Linked DNA regions of Schizosaccharomyces pombe. The gene in region 2 interacts genetically with the main gene of each other region. Each region holds a gene or a part of one and is shown on either strand. Other genes may lie near its edges. The genes, in order: caa1 and fkh1.

Region 1 (11,237 bases), on a different chromosome or scaffold from region 2:
ATACATTTGGCATGTTAGCGGATGTGTCGCCTTCATGTTTGCATACTCAAATGTACAATAACGTATGTGCATACGGGAACAATAATTTGGTTATACGTGCATGATTGTTCTTATAGTTAGTTAGTTAGTTGAAGGAGAAACGTTTGGCGATGGACTTGGCTACAAAAAGTTATTGTACCGACCTGTCCAGCATTCATCATCAGTCCTTTGAGTGTACGATATTTGCGCATGGGCTTACTGATAGAGAATACTACCTACAAGTAGGTATTATATCTTTCATTAAAGACATAGTAAATATCTGTCATTTAAAACAGATATTTTGTATATCCTCTAGTACGTATTGTTACTTTACTGTAATTTGCAGTCGAAAAAATTAAGGAAATTGAACAACACAGTTCTAATGTATAAAAGTAAATATGGTGGAAAGTTTAAAGAATATTAAGGTTCGCTTAGTTTTCTGCTCAGCAGGCAACCGCAAAGCGAAAATAGGCATTGTTTTTATTCTTATACTTACAAAAGGAACGGAAACTGTAAAGAATACCGAGTAAGGTCAAGAATTTTTTGGTTTCTGTTTTTGTTTTCTTCGCTTTTACGTGATTTTAATTTAAACTTTTGTATATCATTTATAATTCAGTCATGTCATTCCCCAACCAAATACATAAGGTCAGGATGTGAGTGTAGTTCGGTAATAATGTGGGTAAAAAATCGTTTCGTTCCCGTTGTCACAAAACGATAATTCGGTCCACCGATTCACCATAGCTGGTCAACATAAATCATCTGCTTCGTTAGATTTTTTAGTAAAAGCAAACTCAATTCCTTTCGCATATAACTTTAGGCTCACCCATCAAGCTTGATGTTGGGTTCTTTTTTGTGAAAGATGTTTTCGGATTGGCGAATTCAGCCAACTCGAGATTTTCTTCGGAATTCTATCAATCCTCATCTCATTCAGCAGGTATAATCAGTTGAATCGCTATATCTTCTCCATTTTCATCTGAAGGTGTATCCAGACAATTCAATGTTAGTCTATTGGTTAAGCAGTTATCTTTTGACGAGCAAAAATTGCTTGATTTTGCTGAACCTGCTTCAGAAAAATTTGGTAAATTTGGCAATGAATGAAGACCCGTTGGATTATTGAACAATTTTTTCATGTTACACTCCATCTCGGCGTTGAATTGGCGACATTTGCAGAGATCTAGCAACAATTGGTTATAAAAGTCACATTCCTTTTTGGATGAAGGCGGATTCTTAAAGATTGCACCATCACTATTGTACAAAAGCAACGTCGACTCTGGTAGTTTACCGAGAAATATATTTTTTTTCATATTCAAATAGAGATGGATTGGGAAGGCATAACCGTTTGAGCCAATACAGTGAATCATTGCAATCCAACCGATGTCTGCTTCAGAATTAGCACACTGAAGAATTTTGTCAAATCCATCAATTTCATAAGGTAGATTATTTTCCAATAGCGGCTTACGAAGCTGTACGTATGACTGAAAATTCGACGAACTTACTACAATGCAGTTACATGTCGAGCCAAGAGCAAAGATATCCCTCGGATTTACCAAATACATGCGAATATTTCCAATTTTCTTCTGTACAGCTAACTTTTGGACAGTACTGTATGCTTCTCCTGAATTGTTTACATAATGCTCAACTGCTGCCCACAAGGCTTCCTGAAGACTTTTCGGGTAATATTGATAGAGCATGACATGATGAATCAAAACAGTTAATGGAAATTCGCCCGAACGTAGATAGTCGCACAAATATTTAAATAGAGCTTGATGATTTCGAAGTAGATGCGAAACTGCTGTCTGTATACAAGAATGATTATCGATCAAGTGATAAACCTGATCAGGAAGGCAAAACCCGCTCTCATCCATTTCATAACCAATTTTCAAATAGACACCACTAAACGTATGGAAAACATAAGATAACCAACCATCATAAAACAAATTTGGAATGTCAAAGCGATCTGGCAGCTCGAATTCTTTTAACTTGAGAATTTTACATGTACACGGTATCCACGAAATTGAGTCTAAAAGTAGAAAATGCGTATTGTGAGGATATTCAATATCTGCATATGTAATCGCAGCCATTGGATTTTCACATTGGCATTTCATACAAGCCAATTGGCGCTTATTTCGACGCATGCATAAAATTAGAAATTTCGATATTTTCAGAGCGAATTTGTGAAGTATTGTTGAATGAAACTTGACAACATTTGCATTATAGTTCATGGAAAATAATAACTATGTTTGCATAACACTAACAAGTATCAGAAATTATAGTTATAGGGAAACCTCAACAGAAATTAAGCACTTTACAATATGCCAAAAGATCCAGCTTGAACCAGCTGGCAAAAAAAGTAAAAATGCTGCGTTGTAGGATTAAATCAAATTAGTAATGAGAGAGGTAAATCATAAAATCCCATCGTCAAGAGATTACGAGCAATCTAATTTTGAAGGAAAAAAGCCCGCAAACAATAAATGATGCCAAAAATTCGCAACCAAGTAATGTAAACAATAACACAGCTGAGCTACTGCGACTTATGTTATTATGCTACCTATGCTATTTCCATCACTAAACCAAACTGTTACTACCGCAATTAGTAAAACATTGATGGCGGCTAAATTTGCAGTTCTTTTGCTTGACTTATCTCTGAAAATTTAATGCATGGATAACATATCTGAACCCCAAACATTCGTTTTTAACGAGCCTATGCCAACGTACCTTAACACTTTCAATAAGAAAAAGCAAAACTTGATATCACGCTACATAGCACCTATAATTCATTACAAGAAAACATAATTCATTAAATAACGTAAAACAGCTCTAGAAACAAAAAACTTATATGAATACCAAAATCAGACCAAATAACTCAACAAGACGCTATCGCGTTTCAGTGCTTGACTCTTTGTATTTGTCGATCATCATATTTTGGGAAAAGCTACATTTAATAATATGCTAACTAAAAGTAGGTCTGGCTTGATTCGAACAAGCACTCCGACAGAGTAAACCAAATTTTCAAACCTTTTTCTTTAAGGAAAAAAACCTTTGAGCACGAGACTAAGCCCCATTGTGATACATCAACAAATGGATGCGACCGTATAACTATCAACTACGACGAAAAACCACAATTCAGAAATGGCGTAATCAACCATACCGTTCGTACACTAGACGCTCAAGAAACACAACTCATAGACTGTATTCCTTATCTACTCCATTCTGGACAAGGAGTTATATCTCTTGAGGTTTAAAGTACAAAGGCTAAAGGAAAAACTAGCGCCATTAATGAAACCGCTGATTCTTCAAGTCAGCACGTTACCGCCTGTCCCAATCTCCATGGAGATCAAGACGCAAGAGTCCGGGGACTTTCCCTAAAGCTGTTTAGAGGAATAAAAATTCCTGTATGACTGCTTCAACCACGATCGTTCGAGCTCAAAGGTATCATTTGGAAAAATTAAAGTGGAAACAGTGGTATATATATTACTGACTATTTACGTGACTGTTTATAACCCTAACCTGTTTTTGGATTGAATAGATCTGTTGCTCTGCGATTCTTCGACGAGCAATTGACCGACATAGCATTTAATACTTTCAGTATATCAATGAGCAATGTTCTTAAGTGTTATCGGAGCTGTAGTAGCATATCACCTTGTAATAAAAAAGTTATTGACAGAATCCCTCATTCATAACGACTACACTGAATATCATTATTTATGAATTGTGTAATATAATGTCTAAAATAATAGTATACTGGCGACGTTATCTTCAGTTAATTTATCAAAAGTATGATACGCTAAATGGGAGAATGCATTTCAATGGCTGCCTTAGGTCAGAAAGTTGAGAATGTTGAAAGGACACAGCGCCAACTTGATCTATTTATGATAGTCCCTTTACTACCTTCCTTGAATCCAAAGTGTTGAACTTAGTTTACTTCTGCTCAAATTCGTCTTCTTCAAAGCCTTCATCCCGTAGAGATGTTGACTTCGTGGAGAACAATTTCTCTACTGCAGAAAACTACCAGTCGCTTCATTAAGCGATCAAAGACATATGCTGATGTACGTTATAACAGTCAAGCATTGCAAAATCATGGAGTTCCTGGTAACAAACGTAAATGGATGAAGAGGTTCGTATTTGTTGGTGCTGCTGGAATAGGTGTCTACGCTTGGGATCGAGTGTATAATGCCCATGCACTTACCCGTAGTATTAGAACAGTATACACCGCTTCTATAATTGCGGCTGACTATAAGTTGAATTTCAGCGAAAAAAAGGCAGACAAAATTGATGCTTTGCACCAAAGAGTAGCACAGAGACTGTTTAAAACGATTTACAAAAATGGCGGTTTATACATCAAGATGGGTCAAATCATTGCTATGCAATCAAATAATTTGCCTGAAGCGTATGGGAAAGCCTTTCAGGGAATGTTTGACAATGCACCTCAAGTTGAATGGGAAGAACTTCAAGACATATTCAAAGAGCAATATGGAAGACCAGTAGAGGAAGTATTTGCCAGCATTGAGAAACGTGCTGCTGCAAGTGCCAGTATTGCGCAGGTACATCGTGCTGTTTTACCTAGCGGTGAAAAGGTCGCGGTAAAAATTCAAAAACCAGATGTTGCTAAGCAAATGTCGTGGGATCTTCTCGTGTACAAATACATGATGTATGTTTATGATAAATGGATATTTCATATCCCTCTCTACTTTACGGTTGATTATGTCTCGGAAAGATTACGTTCTGAGGTTGATTTTACAACTGAAGCTAACAATTCGGAACATGCTCGTGAAGGGGTAGAAGAAACTGATTATTTAAGAGATAAGATATATATACCAAAGGTTTATAAAGAGATTTCTGGAAAGCGAGTAATGGTTACTGAATGGGCTGATGGCATTCCCCTCTATGATCAAACTGCTCTTTCTGAAGCTGGGATGAGCAAAAAGGAAATTTTAACGAACCTTTTCAGATTCCTTGCCTTCCAAATGTTTCATTCGAAACAAGTTCATTGTGATCCACATCCTGGAAATATCCTTGTTCGAAAAAATCAAGCAGGCTTGTGTCAAACGGTAATTTTGGATCATGGGTTATATGTATTTGAATCAGAAAAGTTTAGAAAAGAATTTGCCTTGCTTTTCACTGCAGCCTATTCATTAGACAAAAAATCTATTCTTCAGGTAATGGATGCTTGGGGGATTGGACAACCTGAGCTTTTTGCTAACCGCATGTTAAATATTCCAATGGATGAAGAGCAACCTCACACTGGTGAAAAAATTATTTCAAAGAAAGAGGCCTTCCAACAGCAGCTTGCTGAACGCAAAAAGTTCATTGGCTTCTTACAGGACTGCACTCGTTTACCGAAAGAGCTGTTAATGCTAGGTCGCTGCTTAATGCTTATTCAAAAAAATAACCAAAATTTTGGGTATCCAGTGAATAGTATAGCTGTTATGGCCAAGGTTGCTGATAAATACACTACCGACAAACCTAGTCCAACTTGGTATCAACGGCTGTTGTCGCCTATTTTTTGGGTCTTTCAACATTTATTTTACCCTGGAAATTTTCGGTTGCCTGAACTTACTAATGATAAAAAATGATATTTATAGTAAAGATTACTTTTCTTTATGGAAAGCCAATCTTTGACCATAATAATATAACTTCACATATTGCCTACTTTTCTCGATAAGACACTTCAGAGCTCCTCCTTGTAAAAGTTAAGCTCCTCCCTATACGAGTCAAACTTTGTATCGTTATTCACTATTACAGTACATCAAGCTCGGTATCTTATATGTCAATGAAGTATACTGATAATATAGTGATACTAAACCGAGTGATAAATATATATATATAGTAGATCAGTAAGGTTGAAATCTACCTACCGCATATTTAACCACAATGTCAGACTACGGGTTTGCAAATATTGAGGAAGCTAAGGCAGATGCAATTTTTAAATTAAATGCTCAATACCATCAGGATGAAGATCCCAAGAAGGTTAACATGAGTGTTGGCGCCTATCGTGACGATACTGGTAAGCCTTGGATTTTGCCTGCAGTTAAAAAAGCATCTAAAATAGTGGAAGAACAGGCAAGCTTCAACCATGAATATTTACCAATTGCTGGATTGCCTCGTTTCACTAAGGCTGCGGCTGAAGTTCTTTTCAGACCCAATCCTCATTTATTGTCCGAGGACCGTGTTGCATCTATGCAGTCAGTCTCTGGTACTGGTGCCAATTTTCTTGCTGCTAGTTTCATTGAGACTTTCTATGTAAAGCACACTGGAGCCCATGTATACATCTCCAACCCTACTTGGCCTGTCCATCGCACTTTGTGGGAAAAATTGGGAGTCACTGTAGATACATATCCTTATTGGGATGCCAAGAATAGATCTTTTGATTACGAAGGCATGCTAAGTACCATTAAATCTGCTCCCGAAGGAAGTATATTTTTACTTCATGCTTGTGCTCACAATCCTACTGGTATTGACCCCACTAGGGAACAATGGCTTTCTATATTCGAGAGTCTGCTTTCTCGCAAGCATCTGGTAGTTTTTGACATTGCTTATCAAGGTTTTGCCAGTGGTGATCTGAATCGTGACTCTTGGGCTCTAAACGAGTTTGTCAAATATAACAAGGACTTTTTCGTTTGTCAGTCATTTGCTAAAAATATGGGTCTTTATGGTGAACGTACTGGTTGCATGCATTACGTTGCAAAGGACGCTTCCACTAAAAACAAGGTCTTATCTCAATTGTGTATTGTTCAACGTAACACCATTTCTAACCCTCCCGCTTACGGTGCACGTATTGCTGCCGAAATTCTTAACAGTCCTCAATTGTTTGCTGAATGGGAACAAGATTTAAAGACTATGTCTTCTAGAATCATTGAGATGAGGAAACGTCTTCGCGATTCTCTTGTTGCACTCAAAACCCCCGGTTCTTGGGATCATATTACACAACAAATTGGAATGTTTTCTTTTACCGGTTTAACGCCTGCACAAGTCCAATTTTGCCAGGAGCGGTACCATCTTTATTTCAGTGCAAATGGTCGTATTTCTATGGCTGGTTTGAACAATTCTAATGTAGAGCATGTTGCACAGGCATTTAACCATGCTGTTCGCGAGTTGCCTTAAACTGATTATTAATACCAAAGTCACATAGATAAGTATTGGATTCATGAATACAGAATTTTGGATTGTTGTAAATTTGACGAATTTAGGAACAAATTCTTTAGCAATTTAGAGAACTAGTATATGCATTTATTCTTTGAATTTTTGAATAATATGAAGTTATCTGTTCAACTCATACACCGGGACTTCTCCTTTGTGAGTTAGACATCAGTATTTGGCTCATTATTTGCAAAACAAGTTGATATCAGTTTGTAATCGGATATGTTTAGACAAAACTGAGAAAGAGTTCTTTTTTAATAATTCATAACTTGCAAATTGATTAATGACAGAGTATTTGAATTCTTTGTTATATCGAGGTTTACTACATTAATATAATACAACTTTTAGCAACTATTAGAGCCAATACAAAGAAAAGAAGTCAAAACTTAAGTAATACAATATGAGTATGATTTTCTTTGTTTTACTTCCCTATTGTGTCAACTATAATTTTAAGCAGGAAATTTTGAAAATATCCTAATAACTCGAAAACCAGGCTAAAGCAAGGAATATCCCTCTTTGCATAAATTTTATTTCTTCTCGTGTCTTTCCTCCAATAATTAATAATTATAACATCTCTAAATGTGTATGAGTTAGTTTGTTAGGACATTTTGACTCAATAATTCTTCTCGATAAATTTAATAAAGAAAGTTGAATTCACATACCTGAATTTAATATACAATCATGGGGAATTTACATACGTCAATAGCTGTAGCATCTATTTGCTTAACCAGCGCCTTTCTTGGTTGTGTTTTTGGTTTGGGATTTTTCGTATGGATTATATACGGATATAGTATTGGAGGTTTTTTTGCATTTCTGAGTCTTTTTCATCTATTAGAGTTTTACATTACTGCTCGTTTTCAAGGTAGTCAGTTATCATGGGATTCTTTCATATTGAATAATGGCAAAGCCTACTGGTTAGCGATGTTAGTCGGCCTTTTAGAATGCTTATTAAGTGGCGGAAAAAGTTTTGCTAAGGTAATAAATTGCTTAAGATTTCCGAGCTTCTTAATCAACTTTATATTTTCGGTATATCAGACATCTGCTCTGGGATTTCTTTGTTTGGGACAATATCTACGATCCTCTGCAATGGTACAAGCCGGTCAATCTTTTTCTCACATTGTAGCTAGTAAAAGAAATAAAGATCATTTGCTTGTCACTGATGGGATTTATGCTTACGTTAGACACCCATCATACGTTGGGTTTTTTATCTGGGCTTTGGGCACTCAAATGTTGTTAGGAAATTTTGTCTCAACATTACTATTTTCTCTAGTTCTTTGGAAATTTTTCTCACAGCGAATTACTACCGAAGAAGCTTACTTAGTTAGTTTTTTTGGTGATTCTTACGAACAATATCGAAAGAAGGTCCCATCTGGAATTCCCTTAATTCCATAGGTTCACTATTATTGTTATTTGAATAGTTGATAAAAGCATACTTAAATAATTTGTATCATCATCAAAGCAGCTTTTAAAGGTCTGACTATACAAATCTCATAACAAATTATTTTTATAGCCTTTTTCTCCTTCAAGGCTAATAGATATCAATTGTCCAAATAACAGCGCTTTGTCTTGCAGAATTTTAAAGATGTTTTCGTAGCTCCGCTAAACATCGAAGTGCCATTAATATGATCAGCTAATCTGAAATTTTCTCTTAAAAAATAATAGTCTGTTTACTTTTGAACCACAATAATTCTGAAAAGATTTACTGCTTAATCATTACTATTCATAGCTATAGTACTCTTAACAAACATTTCTTCTTCTTAGTTTTCGTTTATGGTTTTAACTATATTATAATTATCGCTTCAGTCAACTTTATGTAAATAAAGAAAAATAGCGAAAAACAACTGCAATATTGTGCAATTTATTTGCTGTAGTTCGCAAGCTCTCATTAATATGTGCTACATGCGCTCACTTGCTATATTTCAATTTCGCCGCAAGCATACAACTCTGCTTCACAATCAATTCCTTTGTATTAAAGGTCCTTTTGAAAAGTTTGTTGGCCGATATATATATAAATATATATCTATCCTTATATATCTATATAGTTTCTTTTCCAGTGGAGTGCATACAAGAGGAATACAGTTTTACCGCGTGAGTGCGGTGATGGAATTGTTGCAGCAGTGGACTCAGCAAGCCAAAGCAGCTCTTACTCAAGCCAGGCAACTGTGTGGTGATGCACATAAGTTTAATGAAGATGCAAAAACTGATTTGAGAAATTCCATAAAGCAGCATCAACAGCTAAAAGAGTTGGCGAAGCTCACAGCATCTCAATGTACTCGTTTAGACTCTTCAACAGCTCTTATTAAGCAGTTATTAGATCTAGTTCAAAATTATCCAACATTTAATCAATTAAACGTCCTTCATGATCGATTGGAATCGTCACTTAAACGTCTTCGTGACTGTACATTAGATCCAGCCTTAGGAAGCGAATATACCAATCTTTATGCATTTGTAGATGATACTGCATTAGAAGATTTGAAAACCAGGCTCCGAGGCGTAACTGATGGTGTTTGGAATGCTTTCGAAAAGCTAGCGGGTTTACTGGAAGAAGATTTGTGTGCCAATTATCATAAACGTTTAGAAGCTGTTTCATTAGACTTCTTACCTCCCGCTTATAACGATACTGCCGAAGAACTTGCGGATTTGCTTTTGCAAGTTGCTCAACATTACGATCAATGCTCCGAAGCTCTCAATATTTATGACACCCTTTCTGATGCGGAGAAGAAAGATCTCCAAGAAGTGCTTCAATCAGACTCTAATCATGTTCCTTCGGTATTGACAGAACTTAGGAGTGGATTAGATCAAACAATTCATTATTTCAACGCAGTTCAAAGTTATAAGTCAAAGGTAGATTCGGCAACATCGATTTTGGAAGCCTTGGCTGAGGAGTTAAACAAAAACCAGTTGACTAATCAAAGGCATGAAGCCGCGCATGAGTTAATGAGGGCGCAAACCGGCCTGGAGATTCCGCAATTAGCTCAAGAACTCGTGCAGCTTGAAAGACATTACACACATTTTGCTAAAGCGTATACCGCTCTCCTTCAGGAAATTCACAGACGACAAACCTATGAAAATTGTGTAAGATCCATTGTGGACGAATTTGTGGGACGCCTGGAGAAGGAACAACAGGCGGAGGCGAAATGTCGTATCGATTTTTTCAATCAATATGGTGATTATTTACCCCAGACTCTATGGGGAGCTGTAACAGATCCTCCTTTACATTTTGAAATTATAGAGCACCAATATACAGAATTGCCAAACGTAAAGGTAATTCCTGATAAAAACGATAAGAAATCGAAGCAACGTGAAAAATCTTCTACTACAGCCTCTAAGCGATGACCCTGTTAGCCATATTTTACGATTTTTAAAGTCTATAAACGTATAATGATTTTAGTTATGCTACTAGTTTATGAGTATTGTATAGACTTTTCCAATAAAGATAATTATATAAAATAACCGTAATTTTTTCCCCTGATTACTTTTTTCTTCCAGATTGTTTTAGTTTGCGCTTCTTCTCATACTTCGGAATCTTGGATTTTCTTTTCTCAGCCTTATCTTCTTTGGTTTTTTTTTTCCGTGCCCTCTTCTCCTCCGGTGTCTCCTTTGCACGTCCGTTTCCTTTACCTTGTTTTGCAGATGATTTTGAATCCGAAGTCCGTTCTTCTTCATTTTCCATACTACTTATAGAATTTGCATCATCATCGCTCTCCGAAGTCTCATTTGGGAGGATTTGATCGTTTTGATTTTTTGTAGTGTCATTTAAATCCAATTTTTGAAAGTCTGTATTTAATAAGTGCTTATATACAAGGCTATTAACACCTCCGGCGTTTACGATTTCAGTATCTCGATCAATGTCGTATACCTCATCTAAAGTCCGAGGAACATAAGTTTTTAAGAATTCCTCTTCGTATTCTTCTGTAGTAGGTTCTTCCTCATAAATTGCATTTAACCGGGTTTTCATGGCTTCCTTTTCACAACTTCCTTCTTCAGTAATGAATTTAAATAATTGAGGTAAAGATAAGCAACCAGCATTCAAACGCCTAAAGAATGTAGAAATGTTTAAAATATCCATTCTTAAAAAATCG
Region 2 (10,764 bases):
GGTTTGACGCATGTCACGGACAGCGAAACGACCAAGAGGAGCGTAGTCAGTGAAAGCTTCAACACACATAGGCTTGGAAGGAACCATCTTAGCAATGCAAGCATCACCAGACTTGACGAACTTGGGGGACTCCTCAATCTTCTTACCGGAACGACGGTCAATCTTCTCAATGAGCTCAGCGAACTTGCAAGCAATGTGAGCAGTGTGGCAATCCAAAACAGGAGAGTAACCAGCAGAGATTTGACCGGGGTGGTTAAGAATGATGACTTGAGCGGTGAAGCTAGCACAACCCATGGGAGGATCATTCTTGGAGTCACCACAGACATTACCACGGCGAATATCCTTGACGGAAACGTTCTTAACGTTGAAACCAACGTTGTCACCGGGAAGACCAGCGTCGAGAGACTCGTGGTGCATCTCAACAGACTTGACTTCGGTAGTGACACCAGCGGGAGCGAAGGTGACAATCATACCGGGCTTGATAACACCAGTCTCGACACGACCGACGGGAACTGTACCAATACCACCGATCTTGTAAACATCTTGAAGGGGAAGACGAAGAGGCTTGTCAGTGGGACGTGCAGGGGGCTCAATGGAGTCAATAGCCTCCAAAAGAGTCTTACCCTTGACGACACCAGCCTTGGTCTCCTTTTGCCAGCCTTGGTACCAGGGCATGTTGGTGGTGGGCTCAATCATGTTATCACCTTGGAAACCGGAGACAGGGACGAAAGGAACGGTCTTGGGGTTGAAACCGACCTTCTTGATGAAGTTAGAGGTCTCCTTAACGATTTCCTCGAAACGAGCTTGGGACCAGCCAGTGGTGTCCATCTTGTTGACGGCAACAATAAGTTGCTTGACACCCAAGGTGTAAGCAAGCAAAGCGTGCTCACGGGTTTGACCATCCTTGGAGATACCAGCCTCGAACTCACCAGTACCACCACCAATAATAAGGATAGCACAGTCAGCTTGAGAAGTACCGGTAATCATGTTCTTGATGAAATCACGGTGACCGGGGGCATCAATGACAGTAACATTGTACTTGGGAGTCTCGAACTTCCAAAGGGCAATGTCGATGGTGATACCACGTTCACGCTCGGCCTTGAGCTTGTCCAAAACCCAGGCGTACTTGAAGGAACCCTTACCCAACTCGGTGGCTTCCTTCTCGAATTTTTCAATGGTACGCTTGTCAATACCACCGCACTTGTAAATCAAGTGACCAGTGGTGGTAGACTTACCAGAATCGACGTGACCGATAACAACGACGTTAATATGTCCCTTTTCCTTTCCCATTTTTGTTTAATGTGAGTTCGATGAAACAGACTCTAGGTAGAAGCGAAGGGCGCCAGCGCCTACATATATACTTGCGCAAAAAAAGCAGTCACATAACGTTCGTTACGTCTCGAAAGTTTTTTTCTTTTTTTCCGGCTTAAAATATTGTCGTGAGCCTATCAGCGAACGAATTTTGTTTGCGCAGGAAAGTCATGATGTCATTTAAAATTTTTCTTTGCTTCTTAACCTTTTGTCTTTAGAGTACACTTAGCCGAATTTGCCACCGCAATAAACATTAGCTTAGCGAACGTCGTTCTTGGCGATTTTGATTTATTGGGCGGAAACGATCAACGCTGTATATATGAAATGGATCGTTTTTCGTTAATTTAAAAATATATATCTGGTTTATTAAATGATGAAAAATATTTAGTTGTATCATTGAACCATTTTTGATGGCCGTTATCAGATCGGATTGAGATTGTGGACTGAGATTTTCGCTGATATACCCACCTTAGCTGCTTTTGTTTGTTCTTTGTCCGTCACCACAACGGTAATAGTTTTGATGGCTTTGCTTTTGGAGGGTACTTCTTTGGCCCGGTATGTCTTTTTTATCGTGTATATATAGTTTTGTCTAACAGTTGAATTAGCAAAGTTCGAGAAGAACTTCGGGAGCAGATCTCCTCGATTAAATCTGTTGACCCTTATTTCAACGTTTCTTTAAAAATCATTCAAGTCGGAGGTAGAGAGGACTCAAATGTATATGTGCGCATGAAAACTCGTGCAGCTAATGAGGTATGAGTGAAGGCGGAGAAGGGTCTCCTAAAATGATTGAAATGCGTAGGGACGAGTTATTAAAAGCGCACTGGTTTTAAAAGTTCACCCTAACACTCATGTACAATCTGGCGTTAGTTGGCGCGATGGATGATTTTTTGGTTTTTCGATAATGTTAGAAGGTAGATGATGCTTGGGTGGACTATTTAAATATTTGCAATTCTCTTATTCATTAAATTCATTTTCTTTCTTTTACATCTCCTTCAATTAAATCCATGCATTATTTTCTAACTGTTTAGGCTGGAATCTCCTGTGAGCATGTGAATTTTCCTGAAGATATTACAGAATACGACTTGCTGCTTGCCATCAAAGGCTTCAACGAGGACCCTACTGTCCACGGTATTATTGTACAGTTACCTCTGCCTGCTCACATCAATGAGCAGATTATTACAGAAGCCGTCGCTCCCGAGAAAGACGTTGATGGTTTTTGTGAAACTAATTTGGGAAAATTGACCAAGCGCGAAGGTCAACCCTTGTTTACCGCATGCACCCCAAAAGGTATTATGTGCATTTTAAAACATTACGGGATTAATGTCCAAGGAAAGCATGCTGTTGTCATAGGCCGTAGCAACATTGTTGGTCGTCCAATGTCCATACTTTTGGAAAAGGCAAATGCCACAGTTACTTTATGTCATTCAAAGACGGAATCTATTGCTGATATTGTTAGGACAGCTGATATTGTCGTTGCTGCCATTGGTATTCCTCATTTCGTCAAGGCTGACTGGTTGAAAAAGGGCGTTGTCGCTATTGATGTTGGTATCAACTCTATTCCAGATGCCACCAAGAAGTCTGGTTACCGTCTTACCGGCGATATTGACTTTGAAAATGCCAAGGAGGTCGCCAGCGCAATCACACCTGTCCCTGGTTCTGTTGGTCCTATGACCGTAGCCATGTTGCTGCAAAACGTGGTTGAATCAGCTGTTCGCTTTCGCAAAATGTCTCGCAAGCGTAAACCAACTCTTCTTCCTTTAAAGCTTCAGACCCCTGTTCCTAGTGATATTGAGATTGCGCGTTCACAAACCCCTAAAAATATTGGTGACTTGGCTTCCGAAATTGGTATCGCAAAATCTGAATTAGAATTTTATGGATCCCATAAAGCCAAGGTCAACCTTGAAATTCTTCAACGTCTGGCTCATCGTCGCGACGGCCACTACGTTGTAGTTACTGGTATCACTCCTACTCCATTCGGCGAGGGTAAAAGTACACTTACTGCAGGACTCGTTCAAGCGCTTTCAAACTTGGACAAGCTTGCTATTGCATGTGTTCGTCAACCCTCTCAAGGCCCCACATTTGGAATTAAAGGTGGTGCTGCCGGAGGTGGTTATTCTCAATTCATCCCTATGGAGGAGTTCAATCTTCATTTAACTGGTGACATTCATGCAATTACAGCAGCTACCAACTTGCTTGCTGCTGCCATCGATACCCGTATGTTCCATGAAAACACACAATCCGATGCCGCTTTGTATAAACGTTTGACTTTGGTTAAGGGAAACAAACGAGAGTTTGCACCCGTCATGTTCCGTCGCTTGAAAAAGCTTGGCATTGATAAAACTAATCCTGAAGAATTAACCGAAGAAGAGCAAAGAAAATTTGCTAGGCTGGATATTGAACCTTCAACTATTTCATGGAATCGTACTTTGGATGTTAACGATCGCTTTCTTCGTAAAATTACTATTGGAGAGAATCCTACGGAAAAGGGTTTCACTCGCCAAACCGGTTTTGATCTTTCTGTCGCTAGCGAATGTATGTCTGTCTTGGCCTTGGCTACTGACTTGAAAGATATGCGTGAGCGATTAGGCCGCATGGTTGTTGCCAGCAACAAATCTGGTGAACCTGTTACCGCTGATGATTTAGGAGTTGGTGGTGCCTTGACAGTCTTGCTCAAAGACGCAATTAAACCAACACTTATGCAAACGTTGGAGGGTACTCCTGCTCTTGTTCATGCTGGCCCTTTTGCAAATATCAGTATTGGTGCCTCTTCCATTCTGGCTGATCGCATTGCCCTCAAATTAGCGGGTACCGAAGTGGATGAGGATGCTAAGAAAGAAGCTGGATATGTTGTAACTGAGGCAGGATTCGCTTCCGATATCGGAATGGAAAAGTTCTTTAATATCAAGTGTCGTACTTCAGGTTTAAAGCCTGATGCCATTGTTATCGTTGCAACTGTTCAAGCATTGAAGTTACACGGCGGCGGTCCTCCTGTTGGACCTGGTAAACCTATCCCTGAGGTTTATAAGCGCGAAGACGTTGATTTGGTTCGTAAAGGATGCGCTAATCTGGCTAAGCACATTAGTAATGCACGTAAGTACGGTTTACCCGTTGTGGTTGCAATCAATAAGTTTTCTTCCGATTCTCCTAATGAAATTAGTGCCATTCGTGAAGAAGCCCTTGCTGCCGGTGCAACTGATGCTGTAGACTCTAACCACTGGGCCGAAGGTGGTAAAGGAGCTCTAGGTGTTGCACGTGCTTTGATAAATGCTTGCGAGAATGTGGATTCTGAATTCCGCCTCCTTTACGATGTACACGAGCCCATCGAAAAGAAGATTGAAATTATTGCGAAAGAAATGTATGGTGCTGACGGCATTGAATTGAGTCCCTTGGCTAAAGAACGTCTTGAAACGTTTACTAAACAAGGATACAACAACTTACCCATTTGCATTGCCAAAACACAATACAGTTTATCGCACGACCCAGATCTAAAAGGTGCCCCTACTAATTTTACCGTGCCAATTCGTGATATGCGTTTGAGTGCTGGTGCTGGATTCATTTATCCTTTAGCAGCAGCCATATCTACTATTCCTGGATTACCTACCAAGCCAGCCTATTACAATATTGATATCGCAGAAAATGGTGATATTGTTGGGCTGTCTTAATTCGCCAATGCCTGTCTCTATCAACCCCTTTTGCTTTGTTCTGAGAACAAGGCAATGGAAAACAGTTGTTCAACCAATAGTTTTCTTGTTTCTTTCAAATATCTACTATTAAAATTTAAGCTCAGAATGATCGACATATACAACTCTAGCAAGTGCCGTATATGCCTATATTTTCAGGCCCATATTTAGTATTAGCAATGTTAGCATAATTTGCTAGTTCATTGCATGATACTTATCCTTTTTGGAGTAAAAAACGTTAAAAAACTGTTGCTTCTTTGACAATCGTATAGAATTCCTGTTTTAACTTTCATACTGTTCAACCTAATGAAATAAACCGATCATACCATATGATTTTTTTCTTGATGGTTTAGTTGAAAACTGAACGTGTAATTTAACTATTTGAAATACAGTCGGAGAAGTTTGATTCAACTTATGAAAGTGAAATTTTTCAGAAGTAAATATTTCTCTCTTTAGCAGTAATCTATTGATCGTAGGCATCATTATCGCTATACGAAATATATCATAGTGCAAGAAAATATAAGATATTAAAAAAAAAAAGATATATTTCTAAACTGGGAAACGTTATTATACTTAAAACACTAAAAAAATTGTGGAATAAGTAACAACCGCTAGTAAGATGCATGTATCATAAAAAGCGAAACACTAGCATTTAAGCCTTCTTATCATTGATAGCAAGCAACTCAACATCGCTATATAGGTTAAAAATAAATCACGAAAAATGTACATTTGTACTTACAAAAGAAGAGTGCTGTTAGGAGGAATCAATCCAGGGAAACCACGTGGGCCATAGCCATAATCAGGAGTGATAGTAAGCTTAGCTTTCTCACCCAAACTCATTTTGGGTACTCCTTCGTCCCATCCGCGAATTAATTGACCAACGCCAATAGTGCAAACAAATGGGGATCCACGGTCAACAGATGAATCAAACTTTTTACCATTGGTTAAAGTACCTATCCCACGGTTATGTCAGCAATGAAATATTCGTTTTGGAAAGGAGAAAACAACACAATATAAAAATTGATTTGCTAGAATAATTCGTCGTAGATTTCACATACCGGTATAATGCATGGTGATTCTAAATGGTGTTAGTAACTGCATTTAGAATAAAATTGTAAGCAAATTCACTATAGACCCTAAGAAAAGGAGAAGCAAAGCTCCTTTGGTAACAAAGAGTTAAAGTGAAATCACACATTAAATACATACCTGTCACCAGGTTTGGGAAAGTCTTGACCATTTCCGGACTTTTTTAAAGGTTAGAATTTGTATGAAAGGAATAATGTAGAGACAAGGACATCAGGAATGTGACAAATTAAGGAAATGCAAATCAGTGGTGAACCGACTAACACGGATGAATTGTTTACAAACATAACCAGAGAAGATATTTGTAGATTCAAAAGAAATTACCGATTTTTTCAACACTTACAGAAATAACTTGCTTTTCGACACCCATATTTAACAGATTTCAAATAAAATAAGTGGTTGGTTAATGAGCAAACCCGAAAGTAGTAATGGAAGATGTATATGGAATAACTTGCCCAGTTTACCGCATTCTTTCATTCTGTGATGTAAACTCGTTATGCACTTCTCTATCCGGTTTACCGATTAGTAAACTGAAAATTCCTTACTTATCGCTATACCATGTACTCTAGTATTATTCATTCTGCATACTATAACTTCTTAGAGTGGGTTTAACAATATATCAAAATACACCATCTGACTTTATTCTAGTCGCACTTACATTAGTTATTACATTCAAGTAGTATAATAATAATTGCTTTGTCTTATTCGTATAAGAAAACAGCATATTGTAACGAAGCACACACCACAGTTTACTGTTTTCTTAAGTAAATACTGAGCTATGTAGCTGGTTTGAAGCTTGTTTACCACTTTTCGTTGATAATCACTATTCAATAAACAATAAGAACTATAAACCTTTATTGAGAAAATAGAAAAAAGAAGTATTCTTAAAAACAAAGATTAAAATAAGGCGCACCGAATATATTCGAACAGTAAGTTATTTGACACATGTAGCTCTCATAGCAGTATTTAATAATTTGCTTGTAATCGTATCAATCATCCCGAAATTCAAAAGAAATAGGATTGTAAATTACGGACACTCAATAATAAAATTTTTATATAATACGATGGAATAGAATGAGCAGCACAATTGTTTAACTTAAGTACTGAGTAAATATATGGACTCTTAATGTAACAAATGAGGGTAAACGCACAATTTAAAGCATATTTTCTAATTTTATTGAAACGGATTTTGATGAAAGCTAATAAATAACTTTATAAATCTTTTTTAGTTGAACTGGCGATCTAGTGGTTAATGAAAGGCTGGGACATTCAATTAAATTTCAGTTAAACTTATTGTCAGAACGAAAAATAAATTGTTCATCGTAAGAGAGTTATAAGATAGATTTACTTTTATTTCCGAAAACACTTAGTACATGCTGTGAAATTAGCATGGAGGATGAACAGAATGGCAATAACCGAGTACCATAAATCATACTTCTCGTAAAAGTATGGTTTGTTTGATTCAATCTTTATTATACAGTATCCTAATCAAAAAGCTCTCAAATATAGTTTGGGTGTCTGTAAGAAAAGCATATTTCACTTCATATTGTTTTGGTATACCTATATACTAAATAGAAAATCAATGCATTTACCAATTTTTTTAGCTCGACAAGAAGAATCAATAGTCAGAATAGAGTGTTGAAATTGTGAAAACTTCGTTAATACGCAAACAATATCATATGAAACGAGCATTAAAATTTTAATGCTGCTTAAACAGATAATTACAGAATAGCAACAGTGAATCTTTTCACTAGTATGACTTTATTGTCTTTTGTACGTTCAGTCCCAGTGGTCGTCCACTTATTGGAAAGGAGCTTTAAATATGAAAACAATATTCCCTTCATTTGAACATTATATGATTTTGGTAATCCCATTTCAAATTCTTTAAACGGTTTCTAAAACATGCAATTCATTACCATTGATTATGGCTATGAGATGTTATAACGCAATTGTTAAAACCAAATATTCACTATTTTAATTCTAAGATCACTTCTCATTTAGTTTAAAGAAAAACAAGCAAGGATTTTCACACTGAAGGGTTACTTCATTTAATAAAATTGTAAATATTCTTTTACAACTGGATCGAGCTAGAAGATTCAGAACTTTTATATGCAGCCTCCATTATTTTTTCTACTGCCAAAACTTGATCAGATTTGATAGGAAACTCGTTAGCTTTTTTTAAGATTTCCTCAAAAACCGCATCGTAGAAGTCCCGGTAATTTCCCTGAACAGTAGGAACCGTAATTTTAGTTGGTTCAGGCAAAGCTTTCACGTCAGCATCCAAAGGAACAGTCCATAAGTTTCCATAGAGCTCAAATCTATCAGTTCCAAATCCATGATCGTTAGGCTTCATTCCTGAATGTAATTGTGACTCTTGTGGGTCAAACCCAAATTTCATAAAAGAACCACGAGTGCCCTTAATACAGAATCGCATTTCACAGCCGCATGACACATTAGTAGAAGACAGAATTACGTTGATTGGAAGTTTGTTTCCTTTAGCAGGGTAATGAAGAATAATACGAAAATAATCTTCCACCTCCAAAGGAGGAATTTGACGTTGAGCTTCCAGCTTGGCAGTAACAGAGTAAGGCGTGCCAAACAAGGAGACTGCTTGATCAATTAAATGTGAGCCTATCCCGTACACCATTCCGTTCCCGGGTCTAGGTTCATCTTTCCAACTTCCAGATTTTCGACCCAGACGGTATCGATCAAAGTGAGATTCGAATTCAACAACTTGACCAAGTCTTCCGCTTTCTATTATTTTTTTAGCAGTCAGAAAATCACCATCCCACCGACGATTTTGATAAATTGCCAGTAGTAGGCTTTTTGATTCGGCAAGTTCATAGAGCTCTTTGGCTTCCTCATAGGTAGGAGTAAACGGCTTTTCACAAACCACATGCTTACCAGCGTTCAAAGCTTTTTTTACAATTTCAGAATGAACATTGGGAGGTAGGGAAACTACGACCAACTCAATATTGACGTCGGCTAATAATTCATCCAAGTTTGTATAAACCAAAATATTGGGATATGCAGAGCGTGCTTTGGATTGTGTAACTGTTGCCCTACGTTCTAAACATGCATAAATTTCAAATTTTGAAGGTAAAGCTTCAAGGAATGGGAAATGAAAAACAAAAGCTGACACACCAGTTCCAAGCACTGCAGTCTTAATCGGAGGCATAGTTTAACTTAATCAAAGTAATGATTTGTAAGCTGTAGAATACAGAAATTTTTTTAATACGAGAAAATATCGAACCGCTAAAGGAAGAATTTTACTAACGACAGTGTAAGCATATGATCAGATATTAATAATCGGTAATTATAAAATTTTAACCGAATGAAGGGATCCATTTATCAAACATAATCATCATTTAGCTAAACATATGCTAAAATGCATTCATGTGAATACTTGAAAGAAAATGTTTGAAATCAGTCTATTTTACGAACTTTGATTTTAGACATACCAGTTACGCTTTTTTATTATAACAAGAAAGCAGTAAGATTTCAATTAAAAATTCAAGTAATAAAAAACTGATTTTTGCTAATCAATCTGGAAAAGGTTACAGAGTCAAAGTGGATGAAATAAACTAAATTTAAAAGTAGTTTGTTTTCGACAGCTCGATTACCTAACAAAGATCGCTTATTAGCATGTCATTAAAATATTAAACACTATAACGATCATTAGGTTGAGCTTGTTAACCATAGTTATCATAGCTTTTGCTTTGTAATTAATATCATGCCAATATTTCCTCTTATAAAAACGGGAATTTTCGAACAAATAATGTACATACTATGGGATAAACAGTCATCTACTCAAAGATATTTTTATAACATTGAGCTTTAGCGTAGTTGATGCCTAAGATCAAACAAAGTAATGACTTATGGGAATTTTGAGGAAGTAAACATTTGAAGTATCTGTTTAAGTGCTTCTTCTAAAATTCTTTATTGCCTGCCTTCTTTCAGAATACAAAGTATCGCCTTAACAATTCACTTCGGTTTTACTATTTGAATGGTGTTCGCTTAGATGAGCTTAAAAATTTTATAGAGTTTATTAATTTAAGGCCTTTACTGCGTATGAAGATAGTTTTTCTTTTTCTTTTTTTTTTTTAAGCTAATGGCATCAGTTTATATTTCTGAGCCAACTTACTACCCTTTTTTTTAAAGTAATTAGTGAAAATTTAAAATATCATTCATGAATTCACATGCTAAAATAGCGAATACATATGCCTTATTTTATCTACTAAGAAGCTTTCAAAGTTCTTAACTCAAACATTTCAGTATTCCTTATTATCACGTTTTAAGAATTTCCCTCCTTTTTTATATATCATTTAACAACATTTGTTACACATACAAGATCATAACTTCATGCAGTAGCTGTGTGTAAACACTAGTATATTAATATATAATTCATTTATTTGTTTGTGGTCTACTAAAGATAAAATAAAATAAGAATAAACATAAGAAATATTAATAAGCCAAACCAAATAATCACAAAAAATACGTATATAGGCGTTTTATAAATATCTGCGTTTTGCTGGAATAATAGTTATGAAACTAATGAACGGAATTCAACTAAACATACTCTACAGCACCAATTAAATTCACTATCGATACGAACTTCTTTCTTCGGGATTTCCTTAAAATCACTTAACATCAATTGTCAAACTTATTAACAAACTGAAGCAATACTTGA

What was found.
Region 1: of fkh1 (region 2) and caa1, a mutation in one rescues a mutant of the other (synthetic rescue), as found in Schizosaccharomyces pombe (one study listed by BioGRID).

Annotation. Positions count from the first base shown.
Region 1 is NC_003424.3:1,226,670-1,237,906, reverse strand, and holds caa1 (aspartate aminotransferase), read left to right. Parts: upstream 1-5,867; 5' UTR 5,868-5,889; coding exon 5,890-7,119; 3' UTR 7,120-7,267; downstream 7,268-11,237. Other genes in the region: SPOM_SPAC10F6.15 (uncharacterized protein), read right to left, coding at 942-2,240; SPOM_SPAC10F6.14C (ABC1 kinase family protein), read left to right, coding at 3,984-5,591; protein-S isoprenylcysteine O-methyltransferase Mam4, read left to right, coding at 7,837-8,547; autophagy-associated protein kinase activator Atg17, read left to right, coding at 9,256-10,491; rio1 (RIO family protein kinase), read right to left, coding at 10,628-11,237. UniProt on the Schizosaccharomyces pombe protein: Plays a key role in amino acid metabolism.
Region 2 is NC_003423.3:626,199-636,962, forward strand, and holds fkh1 (FKBP-type peptidyl-prolyl cis-trans isomerase Fkh1), read right to left. Parts: upstream 6,480-10,764; 5' UTR 6,445-6,479; coding exon 6,418-6,444; intron 6,236-6,417; coding exon 6,198-6,235; intron 6,070-6,197; coding exon 6,050-6,069; intron 5,945-6,049; coding exon 5,731-5,944; intron 5,684-5,730; coding exon 5,644-5,683; 3' UTR 5,499-5,643; downstream 1-5,498. Other genes in the region: tef103 (translation elongation factor EF-1 alpha Ef1a-c), read right to left, coding at 1-1,290; C1-5,6,7,8-tetrahydrofolate (THF) synthase, trifunctional enzyme Thf1, read left to right, coding at 1,832-1,866, 1,917-2,061, 2,340-4,973; SPOM_SPBC115.03 (gfo/idh/mocA family oxidoreductase), read right to left, coding at 8,146-9,252. UniProt on the Schizosaccharomyces pombe protein: PPIases accelerate the folding of proteins. It catalyzes the cis-trans isomerization of proline imidic peptide bonds in oligopeptides. Has an important role in sexual development and serves as the target for rapamycin action.